5 linked regions of the Cricetulus griseus genome follow. The main gene of each other region encodes a partner of the protein of the gene in region 3 in a complex. Links are inferred from orthologs where the notes say so. Each region holds a gene or a part of one and is shown on either strand. Other genes may lie near its edges. The genes, in order: Chchd3, Apoo, Micos13, Apool and Chchd6.

Evidence for each region.
Region 1: Micos13 (region 3) and Chchd3 share a complex: the UniProt entries of both Homo sapiens proteins name them as parts of the mitochondrial contact site and cristae organizing system (MICOS) complex. The link is inferred for Cricetulus griseus from reciprocal best matches to the Homo sapiens genes MICOS13 and CHCHD3.
Region 2: Micos13 (region 3) and Apoo share a complex: the UniProt entries of both Homo sapiens proteins name them as parts of the mitochondrial contact site and cristae organizing system (MICOS) complex. The link is inferred for Cricetulus griseus from reciprocal best matches to the Homo sapiens genes MICOS13 and APOO.
Region 4: Micos13 (region 3) and Apool share a complex: the UniProt entries of both Homo sapiens proteins name them as parts of the mitochondrial contact site and cristae organizing system (MICOS) complex. The link is inferred for Cricetulus griseus from reciprocal best matches to the Homo sapiens genes MICOS13 and APOOL.
Region 5: Micos13 (region 3) and Chchd6 share a complex: the UniProt entries of both Homo sapiens proteins name them as parts of the mitochondrial contact site and cristae organizing system (MICOS) complex. The link is inferred for Cricetulus griseus from reciprocal best matches to the Homo sapiens genes MICOS13 and CHCHD6.

Annotation. Positions count from the first base shown.
Region 1 is NW_023276806.1:194,875,402-194,879,397, reverse strand, and holds the start of Chchd3 (MICOS complex subunit MIC19), read right to left. Parts: upstream 2,807-3,996; 5' UTR 2,666-2,806; coding exon 2,585-2,665; intron 1-2,584. UniProt on the Homo sapiens protein: Component of the MICOS complex, a large protein complex of the mitochondrial inner membrane that plays crucial roles in the maintenance of crista junctions, inner membrane architecture, and formation of contact sites to the outer membrane.
Region 2 is NC_048604.1:75,617,997-75,622,121, forward strand, and holds the start of Apoo (MICOS complex subunit MIC26), read right to left. Parts: upstream 2,813-4,125; 5' UTR 2,774-2,812; coding exon 2,630-2,773; intron 1-2,629. UniProt on the Homo sapiens protein: Component of the MICOS complex, a large protein complex of the mitochondrial inner membrane that plays crucial roles in the maintenance of crista junctions, inner membrane architecture, and formation of contact sites to the outer membrane.
Region 3 is NC_048598.1:96,937,056-96,940,571, reverse strand, and holds Micos13 (MICOS complex subunit MIC13), read right to left. Parts: upstream 2,105-3,516; 5' UTR 1,952-2,104; coding exon 1,923-1,951; intron 1,451-1,922; coding exon 1,273-1,450; intron 1,115-1,272; coding exon 1,060-1,114; intron 719-1,059; coding exon 621-718; 3' UTR 513-620; downstream 1-512. UniProt on the Homo sapiens protein: Component of the MICOS complex, a large protein complex of the mitochondrial inner membrane that plays crucial roles in the maintenance of crista junctions, inner membrane architecture, and formation of contact sites to the outer membrane.
Region 4 is NC_048604.1:59,659,094-59,663,078, reverse strand, and holds the start of Apool (MICOS complex subunit MIC27), read left to right. Parts: upstream 1-1,176; 5' UTR 1,177-1,200; coding exon 1,201-1,251; intron 1,252-3,985. UniProt on the Homo sapiens protein: Component of the MICOS complex, a large protein complex of the mitochondrial inner membrane that plays crucial roles in the maintenance of crista junctions, inner membrane architecture, and formation of contact sites to the outer membrane.
Region 5 is NC_048601.1:53,698,640-53,702,656, reverse strand, and holds the start of Chchd6 (MICOS complex subunit MIC25), read right to left. Parts: upstream 2,806-4,017; 5' UTR 2,696-2,805; coding exon 2,609-2,695; intron 1-2,608. UniProt on the Homo sapiens protein: Component of the MICOS complex, a large protein complex of the mitochondrial inner membrane that plays crucial roles in the maintenance of crista junctions, inner membrane architecture, and formation of contact sites to the outer membrane.

The sequences.
Region 1 (3,996 bases), on a different chromosome or scaffold from region 3:
TTGCATTAACCTGTGAAATCCAAAACTGGAGTTTGGGCCTCATCTGTCCATGTTTTAACAACTGCCTGAAGTCAAAGCCTTGCTTACAGGCTGAGAATACTACTCTCATGCCTGGAAAGCAAACAAGAGGACCGGTTGAAGCCAAGCAAAACATCAAGAGCAGCTAAAAGAGAGTTACAAGACTCCCACAGGATCCTCACTCTCCTGAGGGCACAGCATACTCTCCTGTTTAGTTATGTTGTGGTCTCACAGGTTTAACCTCCAGCTCTCCTGAGAAACTCCAAGTGTAAACACTGACAAAGCACTAGACACATATGCCAAACAAACACCAGACAGGGAAATGCAGTCAAAAGTGACTTGTCCATTTGGTAAGTTATACTAAATCCTACAGAGCAAAGATCTGAACCCAGGTTTGTTTGATTCCAGAGCACTTTGTGAAAGGAACCATACCATAATAATGGCCACTTTTTATTTATTAATATACAAAGCAGCTTGGAATAGAGCTCAATGGTAGAGGGCTTGTCTAGCACATGTGAGGACCTAATTCAATTCCCAGCACTGCAAAACAGTAATAATAATAATAATAATAATAATAATAATAAACTAAAAGTCTACAATTCACTGGGAGTTTTACATACCTTAAACTCCCATCTATCCAAAGGAAGTGATAACATTTGGACTTATGGATAAGGATGTGTCAACAGAGAAGTAACTTGTCCAGTGCCACAGACCAAACATGTCAGCTTAATTCCAAGTTGGCTTTCTCCTGATGACCTCAAGGAAGCCAAAATGACCTCCACATCCTCACAGTTCAACAGCTTACCAGTTTTGGAAGAAACTGGAATAGGCTACATTTCTTCTCAAAAAACTGACAGTGGCAAGAAACTCATATGACTTCAGAGCTGGAAAAGATAGAGATTGGGAAGGTGTACTCGGCTCCACCAGTCTGAAGAGAAGAAAACTGAACAGAGCTCAGGAAATGACAGGGCATCCTTGAAAAAGACAGGAAGTAAAGAAACCTGGCCCAGGCCATTCACAGGGGAGTGGCATACAATGCCTGTGAAATAAGGCTGCCTGGCCAGGACTGTATCAACAGGGAGAAAGGAAGCTTACTTCAAGTTGTGTGGCAGAAGAGATTGGGGGGGAAAAAAAAAAACAACTCACAAAATTTCTTTAAAAACAATCTCACCACTTGAGTCTAATACCTACTCCCTACTGCCATGCCTATCACTCAACATCTGATAATTTATCCATCACTGTGCTGTGGCCAAATTCTCTTTCAATTTGTTTTGTGTCTGCACCGTGTCTGCACTGAAACATGAGGACATGGACCTATGCATTTTTCCAACCAAATCTTCTCACCTTAAGCTTTCTCTTTGTTCTTAAGTTTTCACTCTCTAGTATGGAACATTCATAGCCTAGCGACAACTTACTTTTTTCTTCCATCTCTGTATAAAACTCATGCTTGTAGTAAGTCTTATCTTACTACAAAAAGTAGTGAGAATTGCTGATCACGGACCAAAAACTCAGTTCAAACAGTTTCAAGTTTCTATCAGGAAAACTTTAATAAGCTCTTTTCAAACTAACAAATTTCAAAGGAAGAAGTTTTTAAACACTTGACATGTTTTATTTCCCAGTAACAAAAGCAAAAGAAGGATGTTACATATTTAACCGACTAATAGCAGTTGTGTAAAAACAGAAAATATAAGGTACTCTAAAACCTTCTGGAGCCACAGTGCTTTATTTACTAGGTACAGGTGTGCTTCCCAAACCATGACGCTCCAAAGTCAGGTGCAGAATGTTAACGAAGTTAGGGCGGGTACCCTGACATCCTAGCGAAAACACAGCTTTCGGTTGTGTAGCAAGTCCACGCAGAGGGTACTTAAAAGGTCTCTACAACATATCCCTCAGAACGGACTCTCTCAGTTCTACCAACCTTGAAGAGCTGCAAACTGACCTCTGCCCAATCAGGCTGGCAGACAGCAGGCCTGCCTGTAGTAACTGGGCCTGGTTCAAAACTTGGGCCAACAAACCGCAGGGGAGGCGCCTGGGAAAACGACATTCATCAGGCGAAAGGGAAGGAGCCAGAAGTTAGCCAGCGGGGCCAGGAATGACTTGAAGGCATGTGTGTGTGTGTGTGTGCACGTGTTGGGGCCAGGGTTGCTACTAGAAGCGGGGCACTGAATGGCAGAGGCAAAGAAGGGTCATCCTTAAAACACCAATTCGCCCAGAGAGAGAGAGAGAGATGTGGAAAAGCAAGTCTTGAACAGGAGGCACACAGGCCGGCACAGTGAGGCAGGAGCTTCAGTTAAATCCTGCAACTAGTGAGCAAGGACGACGTGGTGACCGGGCACCCCATCTGTGTGTGCCAGCACAGTGCCTGGCGGCTGGCACGCAACCAACTTTCTCTGAATGAACGTTCCGAGTCTTGAAGCTACAGGCTTCTTCCCAGAGACCCAGGCTTGCAGCGGGACAGCAGCGCAAGCCGAGAGCGAGCGTGGAGGGTAGGTGCAGCGATCGCGGGCGCGTCTCAGCGTCGGGGTCCGAGTTCAGGGGCTGCCCTCCGCCCGCCCACGGCACTCACCCGGATGCCCTTCACCACCGTGATGTTCTCGTTCTCGTCGGCCTCGAAGGTGACCCGGCGGGTGCTGGCGGTCCCGCCCATGGCTCCCGCTTCTGTCCCCGCAGAGTCCGAGCGTGGACCCACGAGCACGGCAGGACGCGCGCGCCAAGGCCCCGGGAACGCTTCCCCGGCAGGAGCAAGGCCACGACCCCGAGAAGCAAGGAGAAGGCGCCGGTCCCGAAAGCCCGCCTCCTCCGGTCACGTGCCAGGAGCAGGACGCCCCGGGTTGGCCCGAGAAGCAAGCCGCCCGCCTCTTATCGGAAGGTGCTCCAGGATTGGTGGACCCGGACCCGGATGCTATGGCAACAGGTGTGTGCTTAGCAAGGCTTCCGGAGCCTCTGAGTGTAGTGGGAGTTGTAGTCTTGACCTGGCGTGGTAGGTGTTATAACCATCTTTTCTTGCTCCAGAGCTTGCAAGGGGAGTAGAGCATTCTGGGAGTTGTAGTCTGACAGCCCGGGAGGTTTGTAACCAGTCTATGTTCAAGGAAGTTTGTTCACCCAATCAGCGTGATTCGCAATTTACTCTAGAAACTTGGGTCAGTTAAGTAAGCAGTGGTTCTTCACACAACTGAAAGCTAGATGTGGGAGATGCGCTCCCCTAAACAAGCTGTTCTTACATTCCTATTCTCAAATCTCTGGCACTAAACTTAACATTTTGCCATTACTAGAGTTTTAGACTACTTAAAATTTCAGGAGCAGACACTGTATGTGCTTATGTTCTGTCTCATGGCCTATGTTCGCCTGTGTGAAATAAAACTTTCAATGTTAGGGCTTTCAAATATGCACACGAAAATACATAGGAAAAAATTACTTACACCAACCATGCAGGTAGAACACTATTTCCCATGTCTGTGTCTCCCCTGCTTATCCATAAGTTACATCACCTGACAATTAGGCCGAGAAAAGTAATCGCCAAAGTTGGCATGAATTCGTGGAGGAATTAATACGGCATTAGACAAAATTGAGAAGACCTATTTTGGAAAGTTTCTAGTTCAGTACTTTACCTCCATGAAGAATATAAGATTTTAGGTTATCCATGTATTTCGTTTCGATTTTGGTGGGTTTTGTTTTGTTTTTGCTGAACACTTGCTAAAAGCACAGTGTGATCTTAGATTTACAAGGGCAGATAAATACTCTTTAGAAGTTAGATGGGTGGGGCTGTAGATATAGGTCAATTGTTTGTGAAAGGCACACAGCCCTGCTATGTGAGGGAGGGAGAGTGAAGGAGAAGGGGGAGGCAGAAAGGAGAGGGGGGAAATGGGAGGGGACAGAACTGGCTGAACATGGACTTTTTTTTTTTTTTCAATTCGTCCTGTTTGGCATTAAAAGCCCCAGAATATAACATACCATGGCATCCTTTTATGTCAGAGGGAT
Region 2 (4,125 bases), on a different chromosome or scaffold from region 3:
CCTCCTACAACAGATGAGAACACACGAACGTGCGTTCAGCTTGATGGGCGAGAGGGTGGCCCCCTTTCCAGTCATACCCCATTTCCCAGGACAAATGGCTCTCCGCACCAGTCCCTGGTCCAGCTCCCAGCAGGGATGGGGAGCCGGCTATCTGGGACCAACCGAGGCTCCTTTGGCGCTGCCATATCATTCCAGCAGTCAGGATTCTGACTTAGAAGCGGTCAGTCATAATCCCACAGATGGTAGCTTTGCCCCATTGGCTCCTCAGCCAAGCACATACACCATAAAATGGGACAATATTCAGAGAGTGACAGACCTTGGAACACTCAGTCTTAAATGGGACATCTCCCTCAAATCCCTCCCCTCAGGGCTCAGGGAACCCTGTGGAAGAGGAGGAGGAAATATTGTTACAGCCAAAGAGGACAAAGGACACCAAGGAAACAAGGCTTTCTAAACACAGCATAACGGACACACATATGAACTCACAGAGACTGTAGCATCTTGCACAGGGCCTGCATGGGTCTGTACCAGATGGGGGCCCAGCACTGAGAGAAGTGGACCCAGGTTCCATTCCCAGAACCCAAAGGACATCTGACAACCATCTGTAACTCCAGTTCCAAGGGATTATATGCCCTCTTCTGGCCTCTGTGGACACCAGACATACATGCAGGCAAAACACTAATACACAGAAGAATTAAAACTAAAAAAAAATGTTCAGCCGGGCGTTGGTGGCGCATGCCTTTAATCCCAGCACTCGGGAGGCAGAGGTAGGCAGATCTCTGTAAGTTCGAGACCAGCCTGGTCTACAAGAGCTAGTTCCAGGACAGCCTTCAAAGCCACAGAGAAACCCTGTCCCGGAAAAAAAAGAAAATGTTTAACACATCTAAAGACACAAAGAACCCCCCTGCAATTTCCAAAACATACCCAAAGGGGTGGTATCAGTCAGTTGAGAACCACTGTTCTACAATCACATCCTTTTCCTTCTCTCTTTCTCCCCCCCCCCCCCGTTAAAAAAAAAACTTGTCTGAGTCATCAATCTGTGCTAATCTTTCATTTCTATCAATAAACTTACATGTATGAAGATTGTGAAAGATTTTTCAAAGAGTCCAAGTCAATGAACATGTTCACAGACTTATATGAATATACCTGACATGAGCATTGCTGGTTGCAGATTCAGTTTCCATTATACCTCTTCCTTCCTAAAGAACCCCACTGTGCTCATGAAACCATTCCTTTTCCATATGGTAAGCAAAGTGAATCTGTTTGACTGAAGCTAATCAGAGCCCAATATTCCCCTGATAACTGCTATTGGGCTAGGAACAGACACCTGACCCACGTTGGTTCAATCAGACCTGAAGGAAAAACATAATCCAAGCATGGGAGTTTTATCCTCTCCTCTTCTCCTAGTGAATGGCAAAGTAATGTTACTGCCACTCATCTTGTAACTGTAAGGAAAACCAACAATACCATAGTAAACCCAGAAGAGCCAGGTCTTTGATGACAATGAGCCAACAAATCAATGAGTTCAGTGTCCATCCTTCCTCTGGGTTTAGTGAGATAATTCTCCTCAGTATTTTACAATTGAGATTTTTGTTACCCTAATTTCACCAATAGAAAAAAAGTCACAGAGCAGTTAAGTGACATGCCCATTATCACATAGCTAGAAACCGGCAGCAATGGAAGGCAGAAACCATGATCTGATTTGGCAGCCGTTATTAATGCACCCCAAACACTGCAGCTGCAGGAAACTCTTAAATGGGTAGCAGAATTTTGAGATTTTATTAGCACTATTCTGTAAATATTATGTTTCTTGGAGAGTTGATTTTATAGATTTCTGGATGCGTGTGGGGTTTTGGGGGGTTTGTTTTGTTTTGTTTTGGAAAGGGTCTCTTTATGTAGGCCTGGAAATCGCTATGTAAACCAGGCTGGCCCGAACTCACCTGCCTCCACCTCCTAAGTGCTGGGGTTAAAGGCATGTGCAGCCTGTAATTTTTTGAATGACAAAATATAACTGACTTTTAAGAAAGAATAACTTTGGCCGGGCGTTGGTGGCGCATGCCTTTAATCCCAGCACTCGGGAGGCAGAGGCAGGCGGATCTCTGTGAGTTCGAGAACCAGCCTGGTCTACAAGAGCTAGTTCCAGGACAACCTCCAAAGCCACAGAGAAACCCTGTCTCGAAAAAAAAAATAAAAAAAGAAAGAATAACTTTATGATAAAATTTAGGTTTTTCGAAGTCTTCACTGTAAATGTCTATCTTACGGAGGACAGGAGTTCAAATGAAAAAACCCGTAAGGGAGGGGATAAGGATAAGAGTCGACTTTTCCACACTAACGCTCACCAGAGAGGAAGTTCCAGCTTTCCTCAAAGCAGCCTCTCCCTCACCAACCTCCCCGACATCCTCCGAAGCTGACCCTCCCCCCACCCACAAGTGCGGTTCGGAAACCTGATCCTGCCAAGCAACCAAAGCCACGAACGCTGCAGTGCCGGGACCTGGCCTCATCCTACCTACTACCCCAAAAGGGCATTAGCCGAGGAAATGGGTACTATAGCTGCGTCTTAAGTTTTCAAAGTGTTTCATTCCCCTGAGAACTACTCGAGGGCCGATCCCACCCATCTAGGGTTCCATGCCTCAGTCTCACAGGTGCTGGTACCAAGCAGTGAATGAATCGCTGTGACAGGACTTAGCCAGCCCGGAGGTGGGCAAAGCCTTGGGGACACCCGAGTCTGATCCTCAAAGAAGGCCCACGGGAGTGTGGGAAGGGACCCCGGCATCTGAGAGGGGGCGATGACAACTGTGACCCGGCTCCAAGCTCTCACCTTGAACATGTCGCTGGCAGCCGTGGCTCCGGCAGGGTCACCCCTCCCTTGGCCCCGCCCACTGAGAAAAGCGACTACGGTGGCCGGCTTAGATCCTAATTCCCTTGACCGCGAGCAGGTTGTGGTGCACGAGATGGTGATGCTCCCCCGCCCAACTCAACCCGCCAAAAGCTCAAGGCAACCGCTAGGTGGCGCATTGCGTTGCTTAGCAACGGAGAGGGGCCCGCGCGCGGGAGCCTGATGAACCCAAGCCCCGCCTTCTTGTTGGCCCTGTTTCCTCGCCGGCTGTTGCTAGGCGGCAAAAGGCGGCAGCTCCGTGTGGGCGGCAAGTTGTGGTAAGAAGGGGGAGGCTCCTTGGCACCCTGCTGCGCGGAGAACCGGCTTCGCCTCCACCACTGGGCGCCTAGCTGTGCGGATGGGAATCCTGTAAGCCGAGGTAGCCAGGCGGTGGCGCCCGACGGTCCTGGGGTGGCCGCACCAGCCTCTTAGGGAGAAGCCGCGATCGATCGTGGGGCTTCGGTTTACCTCACAAAAGGTTTTTTCCTTAAAGAATTTACCGTATGCTGAATGTTGCTTAAATTTTATGTAATAGTAAATGCACCGCGTCATTTAGTCGCGAAAACTGTCCTTTTTTTTAAGAAAAGTACTAAAGCGTAAATCTGAGAATCAAATATTTGTCCCATTTATTAATTGTAGAAGTAAAATGACAGTATTTAACTATTCGCCAGAAAAAAAGCAAGCTTTAACACTGGTTTAAATGCGTAATTTTATTGCTCCGACACAAGTGGATGGGCATGGTTCTCATTGCCTAGTGTCCAAAACTGCGGAAAATCTAAAGCTAGGATCCAATTCAAGGTAGTCTGCCTTTGAAATCTCTGCGCTAGCTTGGGCAAACGCTAGCGCGTCCCGTAGAGACGGTGTATTTCGTATTTCGTCCTGTATTTCTTGTCCTAATTCAACAGAAGATGGAAGCCACATAGGCATCCTGAAGATCTGGAGATTTGTTCGGTAAAAGGTCACTGTCCTCTTATCCTAGAAACACACCTGTCCTTAAATTAGGTGTGTGGGGTTTTTTTAGTTTGCTGCGAGAAAAAGCAACAAAAATGCCCATCTAGGGCAAACTGGAGCATTTCAGTAAAAAAATGTTAAGTTTGTCATAGTATTTAACCTTTGGCTTAGTGACTTGTGGTTAAGGTTTTTTCTTTTTAAGCAGAACTTGTAGGTGTTAGCAACCTTCAGGGAAGGGAAAACGGTAAGGTTCAGCCAGACCAACTCCCAAATGTTAAGGGCAGCTCTTTCCTTCTCAA
Region 3 (3,516 bases):
CTGCCCGGAAGTCGAGCTCCAGGGAACGGGACGCCTTCTGGATAGTGTGGGCAATGTAGACATACACATGAACACATGTGCACATGCTGTGCTAGTCAGTATTTTTTGTCAACCTAATAGTCATCTGGGAAGAGGGACAGTAAACTGAGATAATGCCTCCATCAGATTGGCCTACAGGCATGTTTTGATTGATGAGTCCAACACAGCACCACCCTGGGCTAGTAGGCCTGGGTGCTATTTAGAGAGCAGGCTAAGCGATCCTCCATGGCTTCTGCTTCAGGCCTGTCTCTTGTTCCTGGCTTCCCTCAGTGATGGAGTATGGCCTGAGAGGAGCAAGCTGAAACAAACCCCCTCCTGCCTGAACCACTTTCAGGCATGGTGCTTTATCACAGCAAGAGAAAACTAGAAACAACCAACCCCTTCTGGGCTCTAAGCAGGGATCCCCAATGGACAGGACTTTCTCCACAAGCAAAGGTTGCCAGAGCTACGACCCCCCAAAACACAGATCGGGAAACATTCCCAAGTTGTTTATTGGACCAGCAATGCTGGAAGCTGCCCAGAGTGGGTCCCGACTGTGGTAGAGTCCTGCCCACCCCGTAGCACGGGGCAGGTGGCATCCATTACTTGCTGTGCTCTTTCACATAATCCCAGCCCTCCTTGGAGTACTCTCGGGCCTTGCTGGGGGCCACGGACAAAGCTGCCATGACAGAGATGATGCCTGCAAGGATAATGCATGGGTGCCAGTGAGAACCCAAATGCCAGAACCATTCTCACAGCCAACCCCCAAAGAAGCCCAAGAGTGGTAACTGGAGCAGGAGTGAGTGGGGCCACCCCTTCCCTTCGTGTTGTTTTAGAGAAGTTCCTCTGTGTAGCCCTGGAACTAAAAATCTTCCTGCCTCGGCCTCCCAAATGCTGGAGTCATAGGCATGGGCCACCATGCCCAGTCCTTTCTACTTAGCTCAATAGGCGACATTCAGGCACACAGGAATGGAAAGGAACGGTGAGGCAAACAGGGCTGGGATGCCGAGGCATCCCCCAAGCAGAGGCATAGGGACCTACCTGAGTTCCAGGATTCACGGAAGTTCGGAAAGTTAATCTTTGGAGGGGCTGGGAGCTGGGAACAAAGAGGAGCACAGGTGCTGGTGCGTTGGGGATAGGTCACACCTTATCACCCAGACCCAGTGATACAAATTCCACGCAACAGGTGGTACAGGCACCAAGGCCACCCAGAATTGACCTGCCAAGCCCCATCCTCCCTCCCAGCCAGATTACCTGTGGCATCTCCAAACCCGTCTGCTGGCATACATACTGGCTGAACTGGTACATTGCTGGTGGCACCACCTCCTCGGCCTTTCTTAGAGCAGCCTCGCTCTTGTCACTGGGTCCCAGCAGCTCCTGGTCATAAACAAGGTAGACTGCTCCCCCAGCCACACTTCCCTTGATAAGGAACCTACGGGGAGACAGGAAGGGACTGAAGCCGGGGACCTGAACAGTTCACCAGGTGACACCCTGGGAGCCCAGGGAACAAGGATCATTCCTTTGCCTTGTGTGACACGACTTGTGGTAAGCCGAGTCTTAAAGTAAGAGACAGTGGGTCATTCGAAATCCTGCCGCCAGCAGGAGCCCAGGGGAGCTTCCTTCATGTCATTCAATGAAGGGGCGACGGGCAAGCTTTCCCACGCGTCCCCACTGCACATACGGGAAAACTTAAGCTGTAGGTGACATGGGCTGGCTGGGGGGAAGGAGAGAAGAGATGCAGTTAGCCTTGCCAGCAAACCCGGTTCCTTCCCTACATGGGCCGTGAGAAGAGGTCCAGAAGCAACCGGAAGTAAGCCTTCGCAGGACACCCAGCGGCCAGGCACATATGCCTATAGCACGGAACTTTCTCGAAGGTTCAGGGCCCAACCCGAGTCTCCACGCACCTCATTAGCGACCATACTCGAGCCACCATAGTCGATCCCTCGCTTCACTCCCCGCGCAAGGACACGCGACTCGCCCGCCGCTTCCGGTGGGCGATGTTACCGAGGTTCCTGGGAAAGGTAGTAGTCGCCGTGAGCCGCAAAGGACTCCGGGAACAGCAATAGGGTTAGACTCAGTATACCGAGGACAGTGGGTGCCGCAATTCTTTCTGGGAAATGTAGTCGGGGAGGGGGGGAACAAACCAGAGACGAGCTAGGCCGCGAAGCCTCCTGGAAAATGTAGTTTGGAGGGTCGATGGAAGGAGCCCTCAGAGGACGCGTATGGGATCCTCGCGCCTGCGCGAAGGATTGAGCGTGCCTGAGGTCTAGCGAGCCTAGGAGGCAGTTACCACAGCAACGCGAGGGCGGGATTGTTCCGGAAGGATAGTCTTTCATCACGTCTCGGGGTGTGTCTTTCACCTAAAGGGGAAAGCAGAGGCCGAGGCTGGCTGGTTGAAATCTGGCTAAGGTTTTTGCCAGTGAGTCCTATCCCCCCATATGCCAGGAAGCTGGGGGTCATATGATACGGGTTGGCAGTGTGTGGTCCCAGGTCAGGTAAAGGGAGCAAAAAGTGAGGTAACAAAGGTGATGATCATATAGATCCCTGTTCTGCTGCAAGGTAGGGATAAGTGGTTGCTGGAGACCGGAACAGGGAACTGACAAGCTTTACCCTTTTATACAGCTTTAACTGGAGAACCCAGAGATCATGGGGCAGAGAGTTCTTAGAGGGTCCGAATGCTAGCCACAGTCTTGCATTCACTGTGCTGCTGCAGGTACAGGCCCATCCACTGTCCAATTCTGTCTACCCACATACCCTTTCATCCACGAATACACCCACCCATCCATCTGCCCACCCACCCCCCGCCCATCCCTCCACCCATCCCTCCACCCACCCCTCCACACACCCACCCACCCATCCATCCATCCATCCATCCACCCATCCATCCACCCACTTACCTTGATGGCTTGCTTTAATCAGAGCCTGGAGTTTCATAGGTTCACACTGGAAATGGTTAGGTGGAGGGAGATTTGTGGACTTCACAACCCAGCGCTTCTCCCTATGCTATTTCAGCATTTTGAGTTTGGGAAACTTCCGCTCCATGTCTTCCAGACTTAGGTAGAAATTCCAAGGTAAGAAAGACCTGTGTTGCCAGACGGTGGGGGCACACGACTTTAATCCCAGTACTCTGGAGGCAGAGGCAGGCGATCTCTAATGACACACAGACACACATGCAGACAAAACACCTATACACTGCCGGGTGGTGGTGGCCACGCCTTTAATCCCAGCACTCGGGAGGCAGAGGCAGCAGAATCTCTATGAGTTCGAGACCAGCCTGGTCTACAAGAGCGAGTTCCAGGACAGCCTCCAAAGCCACAGAGAAACCCTGTCTCGAAAAACCAAAAATAAATAAATAAATAAATAAATAAATAAAACAAAGAGCAAAAAAACAAACACTATACCCGAAAACCATACACACACACACACACACACACACACACACACATATATTGTTTGTTTTTTCAAGGCAGAGTTTCCGTGTAGCCCTGGCTATTCTAG
Region 4 (3,985 bases), on a different chromosome or scaffold from region 3:
GGCATCTGAGCTGACAAAGCAGCTGCAGGAGGACGGAGAAAGGGCAGGAGCCGACCGGCTACCAGCATAAAGGGGAGGGGCTGTGGTGATGACGTAAGTCAAGCCGAACTGCTTTGTCCCTCTGCGCTCTCCGTCGGAAAAACGAACCGAGAGGGTCATAGGTATGGCGGCTTTTAGGGTAAGTCAAAAGAAACTTAGTTTTCCACTCCCCACTCGCTTTGAGCTCACAGCATTCCAGTAATTGTAGAAAGAACCATCTATCGTAACTCCGGGAGGTGCGACTGTGAGGATCGGAACCTTTAAGACTTGCAGTCTCGACACACTTGCCTTGCCGCCTCCATAATCCCCTGCCGTTAACTGTTTACAGCACGGCGGGCGTTAGTCCGGTAACCTGCTAGGTGATGAAAAGGCAGGGGCAACTAGCCGCTCCCACAAAGAGAAAAACAATCTTTGGCATTTGTCTTAGTGCTCAGGGCAGGGCTCCATGACCCGGACGTAGGACTTCCTTCAATAATTGCTCGGGGCCAAAACAGAGACCAGACGTCCCAGAATCTCTACTGGACGTGGGATTTTGCATAATGTTGTTGCTCCCAGTCGAACAACAGGTTTCTTTGGAGTATTATGAGAAAAGGTGCTTTTCTGTAGGAATGTGGGTAGAGGAAGCGAACTAGCTGACTCTTAGGTTTCAACATCAGTTTACACATACTTATGCACTGTAGTTTTTAAGTGTCTAATGACCCTGTGAGGCTTGGGGGAGCTAAGAGTGTCAGTAATTCATTCACCCGATGTTGGTTTTAGGTGTTCTTCATTTCTCATTCTTACTGCATTTCTGCAGTTTGGGACCTCATACTTTCCCTTGAATTATGGGCCGCTCAGCTATCTGGACTCTACTCCCTTTATTCCTCTGATGGAATCCATTTTCTCCTGTACTACTATAGTACTTACACAGAAATGAGAGCCTGCACCTCTACTAGCCTTTATAGCACTCCATTATCTGCTCTCAGGGGTCTGCTTACACTTCTAGATAACAACCCTTCTCCTAGCCTCTGCTCCCCAGCTTCCTCTCCTGTCACCTAGGAATCTGTACTTCTTACTTTATCTCTCCATGCCCCCTTTTACCTGCTCTTTCTGCAATTCTTAAAGTGCCCTTGCCCATTCTTATTTAGTTTCTACCAGGCATGGCCAACTGACCTTTTGATAATGCAACCAACTTGTCATCTACCAAGTTCATTCTGGAGAATCACAATCAAGGTATAAATAAACACAAAAATCTCCAAAACATTATCCCCACATTTGTAATGTTTAAATAAGTTTATGATTTTGTGTTGGGCAGGATGTGGTCTTTTGACCATAGGTAGGACAGACTTTCTCACTTTGCTAAGGGAATGTCCCTGACCAGCTGGAATGATCCACACGAGATAGTTATTGACAACCATATTCATAAGTTAAAAATTCTATGTCTTTTTTTGTTTGTTTGTGGGTTTGTGACTCTGAAATGTTTCTTGGTGCCCAAGTTCAGGGATACATAGTTTTTAAGGCAAAACTCACAAAGACACATGAGGGTCAGAGTAACCTTGAAACATTTCTGGCAGAGTATAGTAGTTATTTCAGACATAACTTTCCAGTTATTTTGGTTAATACATCTGGACTATGGTCAAGGCTATGGAAATTTCACATGTGTTGCTAAGGCAGACATGACCATTGCAGGGAGGGTATAAAGGGCTGAGAGCTATCTAAGCAAACAGAAAATGAAATCAGAATATGATGGCATTACCTTGGTAATTTCATTCCCCCATTTAAAAAATTATTTTGAAATTTTTTATCTTGCAAAGGGGTGAACACTGGTTCTTGAAGATCATTACCCTAACAGAGGTATTTATTATATAAGGCCCCATGGCAAGTCTTATAAAAAGGTTGAGTAGGGGACCATCCAGGCCAGTGAAAAGTTGTGAACCATGGGTTTTAATCAGACATGTTATAGGACCAGAAATTACTTCATTTTTGTTTTTGATTTAAGTTATTTTTAACTTTCTGTAAATTATTTTTTTGGGGGGGGTGTTTTGAGACCGGGTTTCTCTATGGCTTTTGAGGTTGTCCTGGAACTAGCTCTTGTAGACCAGGCTGGTCTCGAACTCACAGAGATCCGCTTGCCTCTGCCACCCTAGTGCTGGGATTAAAGGCATGTGCCACCACCGCCTGGTGTAAAGATTTTTTTTAATGATAACTTTTGATTTGTTAGCACAGAAGCAACAAGTCTCTCATGGTGTCACACAGTCTTCCCTGGGACATGAAAATTAAGTTTAAGCCTTGCCTCTTTTGGAGGCCTGTTTCTGTCAGAGACTATCTGGCATGGAGTGTAACTGAAGGTGTCTAATGTCTATCTATTTGATAAATTATCTGTTGTAGGCTCCTTTTTCCCCTTATTAGAGCTGTAGTGTTCAAGGCAGTAGTCTCTGTCACTCCCATTTCTACCATCAATGGAACAAGGAAACGTGCAGCCTCCTGTACTGCCGGGGGGGAACATTTTTCCAGTAGTGCTCACAGCCAATGTAAGGACTCTGGCAGGTGCTGTTAGCAAGGTGGAAGTTATGGATGGTCTAGTCAGTTTCTCCAAATAATTGTTTAGATCACATAAGGAAATTGACATAGGGTTAAAGTGTATTTCAGATTCCCAATTCTGGGCCACCCACATGGCCCCGGTGTCACTTCTGGTTTTGGTCCAGGGTTAGTTCTCAAAGCACCCCCAACCCATCTTATTGACTGACCTCTGTAAGGCTTATTAAACATAAAAAACTGCTCTTTTTGTATGCCATGATCTCCATGGCAGTTTCATTGGTTGTTTGGAGATGGAGTATTTTGTGATTTGAGGCCCAAATCCAGGTTATGAATCGCCTCTGCAGTGGCTCCTGCAAACTATTGGTTGTGTCCACCAGGGGCAGCAGCAATCAGGCAAATAGCCAGTGAAGGTTGCACCAACCAGGCTCCAACGTCCAAGTCACTGGAGGAACAGAGTGACTGTGGGCTGCACTAGCCAAAAGAGGTCTGCTTTCTATGGTTATCCCTGAAGCCCCAGTGGTCTGGTGCCCCTCAGCAGTGCTCTGTGGTAATCTGTGGTAGCCTGTGCTATGCAGCAGTTAGGTGGTGTTGCAGCAAATGGTGCTATTCTAGTGCTGTGCTGTAAAAGCATAATAGAAGGCTTTTCTAGCAGTGACATTTGGCTAGACATGAATCCTTTGTTCTTTTCCTTTTGCTTGAGGAAGTCCCTCAGATAAAACCCCTTGTCAGCTTTATAGTTGTCAGTCATCCTCTCTCTTACATTGTCCTTCAAACAGGACGCTAGAAATTTGAATGCAGATGTTTCAGCAGAGAATTCCCTGCCAAGTGTAAACTAGTTAGCATGCATTAACAAAAACTGTCCCAACATGTGTGGTAGTGCACATCTGTAATCCCGTCAGGAGGCAGAGGGGGGTGGATCTCTGAGTTTGAGGTCGGTGTGGTCTGTAGAGTGAGTTCCCCTATATATAGAAAAAGGAAAAGGAAAGCTGTCCTTCCAATGTCCCCATCCCTGCTGTGTCTTAGGAAACAGAATCTCCACCTTCCTCTCCTCCTCATCTTCCTCTCTCCCCCTCCCCCCTTCTTTTTAGTAACCCAATGAAGTAAGCAGGGTGTAGGTGTGGAATCCTCCACTGGAGAATGGTCTCCATATTTGGGGTTAGGCCACTGAGGAAAACTGACTCTCTCTGCTCCTGCTGTCATACACTGTCCATGGATCCTCTTTAGGGCAGAGTAGACCCTCCCATTCCAATCCTTGCTGGAACTTTGACTGTCTTGATGTAGGGTGGGCGAACTGAGGTTTTGAATTCATGGTTGCTCCAGCATGCATACAGAAGATGTTTCCCAGTGATTTTCTTCTGATTCTCACAAACTTCGCATCTTTCATGGTATTTTTGAGCCTTAGGGGACAACAAATGTGATGCAGATATCC
Region 5 (4,017 bases), on a different chromosome or scaffold from region 3:
CAAGGCCCTAACACTTGATTTTAAGGAAGCAAGAGCACTGAAATCAGGCCCCGGGGATTAAATACAAGTGGTCTCTAAGAATTTTTTTTTTTCCTGAAACACCTAGGGCAGATATTCTCTTTTGGAGTCTACCTCTTATTGACTTCTCATGTGTTCACTAGAGTAACTGCTTTATTGATCTAATTGTTAAAATATGTATTATTTATTTTTACTTATCTGAAGACCGAGTGAACTCCTCAACCCTCAAGTAACTACTAATAACAACAGGCCCTCCACCAAACACTTCTTTACCTTAATGTTTTTTCTTCCTCTTTAAACCCAGGCACACTAGACATGGCTTTCCCAACAAGGGGCCAAGCACCTCACTGACTGACCCTGGAAAAGCCATTTAGTCTCTCAGATTAACTAAAAAAGGAAGCTAAAAACTACTGAAGTTCCCCCAGTTTCATTGCCTATAAAAGTAAGTAAGTACTAACATTCCTGACAGGCCAGGCAGAAGCAAAGTAAAAATTTCAGACTGCTAAACATGTATTATCAGGCTGGAGGGAGTCTGATAGATCTAGATTAGTCCCAAATGATACTCAAATGGTGCCTTAGGAACCAAGCTTGATATTCCATCTTTATACTAGAGTGTGGAGAAACTAGGCTGTAGAAGGAAGGCTCTGTGATTAAAAATGCTTATTGCTCTTCAAGAGGACTTGAGTTTGGTTCCCAGCACCCAGAGGCAGCAGCTCACAATAACCTACATCTCCAATTTCAGGAGCTTTGACCCTTCTTTTGGCCACCCTGGGCATGTGCACGAATGTGGTACACATACAGACAAATACAGACAAGCAAGCACGTGCAGGTACACACACACACACACACACACACACAGAGAGAGAGAGAGAGAGAGAGAGAGAGAGAGAGAGAGAGAGAGAGAGAATATTTTTGAAAAGCAGAGAAAATAATTGTAAAGACTTTATACTCTACAGGATTATTATGAGAACCAGAAACAAAAAGTCAGGGTCACCTCCAATGGTACTTCTCTAAACCTGTGAAGACTCAGGCCTGCATCACCCCCAAAACAAGAAACCCAGTAACAAAGGTGAAAAATATCCTGAGCCAAGGCTATCTTCCTAAATTCTACCTCAATTTCTTACCTCTCAGCCTTCAGCAGAAGCCATCTTCCCCCATTTAATCCTTGCCACAAGCCAAGTCAACAACACCACCTGGGCAGCACCTAAGAAGCTGGATATTCTGAGAGGCCTCTACAAAACATTCTGCATGTCTTCTACACAGTTTCCTTGGTAGTACCCAGGATAACCTTCCCCTCTTAATCTCAAGTGGGGCAAGTGAAATTCAATAAACAACTCATTCATGTAAGGTCACACAACTAATGAGCTTAGATGTTATACCCTTGGAAGTCTTTTTCTGAACCTTCTAATTCACCTAGACTCAACTCAGAACATTTTGTTTAAATTTGATTTATTTCACTGAGTTCATTCATGTAAGCACTTAACAATTATACACCAGGTACCCACTATGTGTCACACATAGGTGTAGAAGCAAGTACTGCACAGAATAAACTACTTTAGTCTTAGGCCTCCTGCTTTTCTACCTAAGTGACCCTGGACAAGTTATGCCAATAGCACCTCAGTTCTCGTAAGTGACAAAATGGACTAAGAGACCAAACTTAGTGGTGTGTGACTTAATCCTAGTACTCAGGACACAGGCAGGCAGATCTGGGAGTTCTGAGCCAGCCTGAGCTAAACAGTGAGACCCTGTCTCAAAACAAAACAAAGGAGGGGACACTAACAATTTTACTTCTCATAGGTCTATTGAAAATTAGTATCTGTAAAGGGCTGCCACTCTGCACTAAAACAGGAGCTTTTATTCTTCTAAGTTCTGGGGATAAAGAACTTCAGCCAAGGAAGCAGCCAGAACTGTAATGGGAAACCCAATAAACACAATTTGTTTCAAACTGTGCTGAGTGCTGTGAAAATTATAAACGTGTGACAGTGCTGTAGGAAGCTGCTTGAGACTCTGTGGTCAAGGAAGGATTTTTGGATGACATCTGAGCTGTAACACGATGATTGCCAGATTAATGGTAACTGAAGAAACATCAAAAAGATGGGATCTTCTGGGGAGAACAAGGAGGTCCTGAAGCAAAATAAGTGTATTATGAAGGTGAGGAACAGGCCTGGAAAGGGATGAAGGGGTTGGTGGGGCACCAGGGCAGCTTGTAAAAGCAAGTGAGGCGTTTCCTCCTCTTCAACATGGTAGAGACCCACCATTAAGGTTTTAGGAGAAGGGTGGATGAATTATACGGTAGCTAAAACTCCCCCTTTTGGGGCCTCACGAAGGCACGTTATCAAGACTGGAAATGGGGGAACACTTTCAAGAAGTGCTACAGCACACGCAACCAGTCGCACACACCAGGCGAGATGCGGTAGAGAGCGGAACAAATCCGGAAACGGGGGAGCAGAGCCATGGCGTGGAAACCGACTAGAGGCGGCCGGCTGCCCACAGTGCCAGTGGCCTCCCCCATCTATCTGGTCCCTGAACGGCGGCTCCCGCTCCCGCCCGCAAACTCCTCGGGCCCGCGCCCTCCCGCCGCGCCTCTCACCCGGATGCCCTGCAGCACCCGGACCCGCTCCTCCTCATCCATCTCGAAAGACACCCTTCGGGCCTCGGCGCTCTCGGCGCTGCCCATGACAGTAGGCAGACAGGGCGTGCGGCCACGCGAGCCGGCTCCACAGCAACCAGGACGACGCCGCTCCGCACCCTAGACTCTCCACTCGGGACACAGGCCAGCAACACCGCGTTCTATTGGCTGCTGCTGCTGGCGCGCGTTGCCTTGTGGGAGTTGTAGTCTAGCATTCTGGCGCCACTGGAGGGGGGGCGTGGTTCTCAGAGGCCAGGGTGCTTGTAGGCTGAAAAATTGGATAGAGGGTGTAACAGACACTGAGGCAAGGTCAAGGTTTCTTATAAATGTTATCCAGGAAGCAAAGCAAAGGTCGTGTTCTGAAAATAAACTAGCAAGGATGCTGAAGCAACTGCAAGGGCTGAGCAACAACTCCCCACCACCACACACACACACACACACACACACACACACACACACACACACACACACACCAACCCCAATTCCACTCCTACCCCCGGAGACCTGCCTCCTTAGGTTTCAGTCATGAAGGAAACAAACACAAGTAGTGAATTTAGTGTAGTACTTGGGAAACTGCACCGTAATACCGTGAGACAAATTAATAAATGATGGTAACCTTATAGAGCTTTGAGACCTAAAGGTGAGTGTAGTTCATCATGAGAAGGCCAGGGAAAAACTATCCTAGGCACCAACTGTTAATCCCAAAGATTTGAGGAGAAAGACCCCCCCCAACCCAAATCAACATGGCCAAATTAATTAAAGCAAGCAATTAATTAAAGCAAACTTTTTTGTGTACACAGACTGCTCTCCCTAAGGCGGGGTTCAATAGGTCAGACTTGGACATAGGCAAGATAAGGATTTTATAGCTCAGGAGGAGGGAGATTCCAAATGCAGAGTTGGGCAGGCAAATAGTTGGGGATATAAAAGGAGTTGTCATAACAACCTCTCATGAAACGAAGACAATGGTTGCAAGGTGGTCCTAATAAGGTAGTCAGTCATAACAAGGTGATCATAACAACAGGTGGTCATAATAATCTTTTGACAAAAAAGCATGGTTGCTATTTCCTGGCACAGGCAGTAGTTAACCACTTGTAGTTACTTAATATCCCATTACAGGTGGGACATAGCCCAGTCCTTAACAAACAGATTAAATCATAAACAGGAAATAACCTAGTTTATCTTTATTTTAAGATGGCTTTCAAGCCTAAGATAGAGGCAGGCTGGTTCATCATTCCCCTCTTGTCTTATGTGTCCCTATCAAATCATTAATAGGGTCTTAGCATTTTTTATCTAGGGGAAATAAAATTTTAATACATCAAAAGATGAATGGCCTCGTTATAAATTATACCTGTTTTGTTGGCACAGAAAGA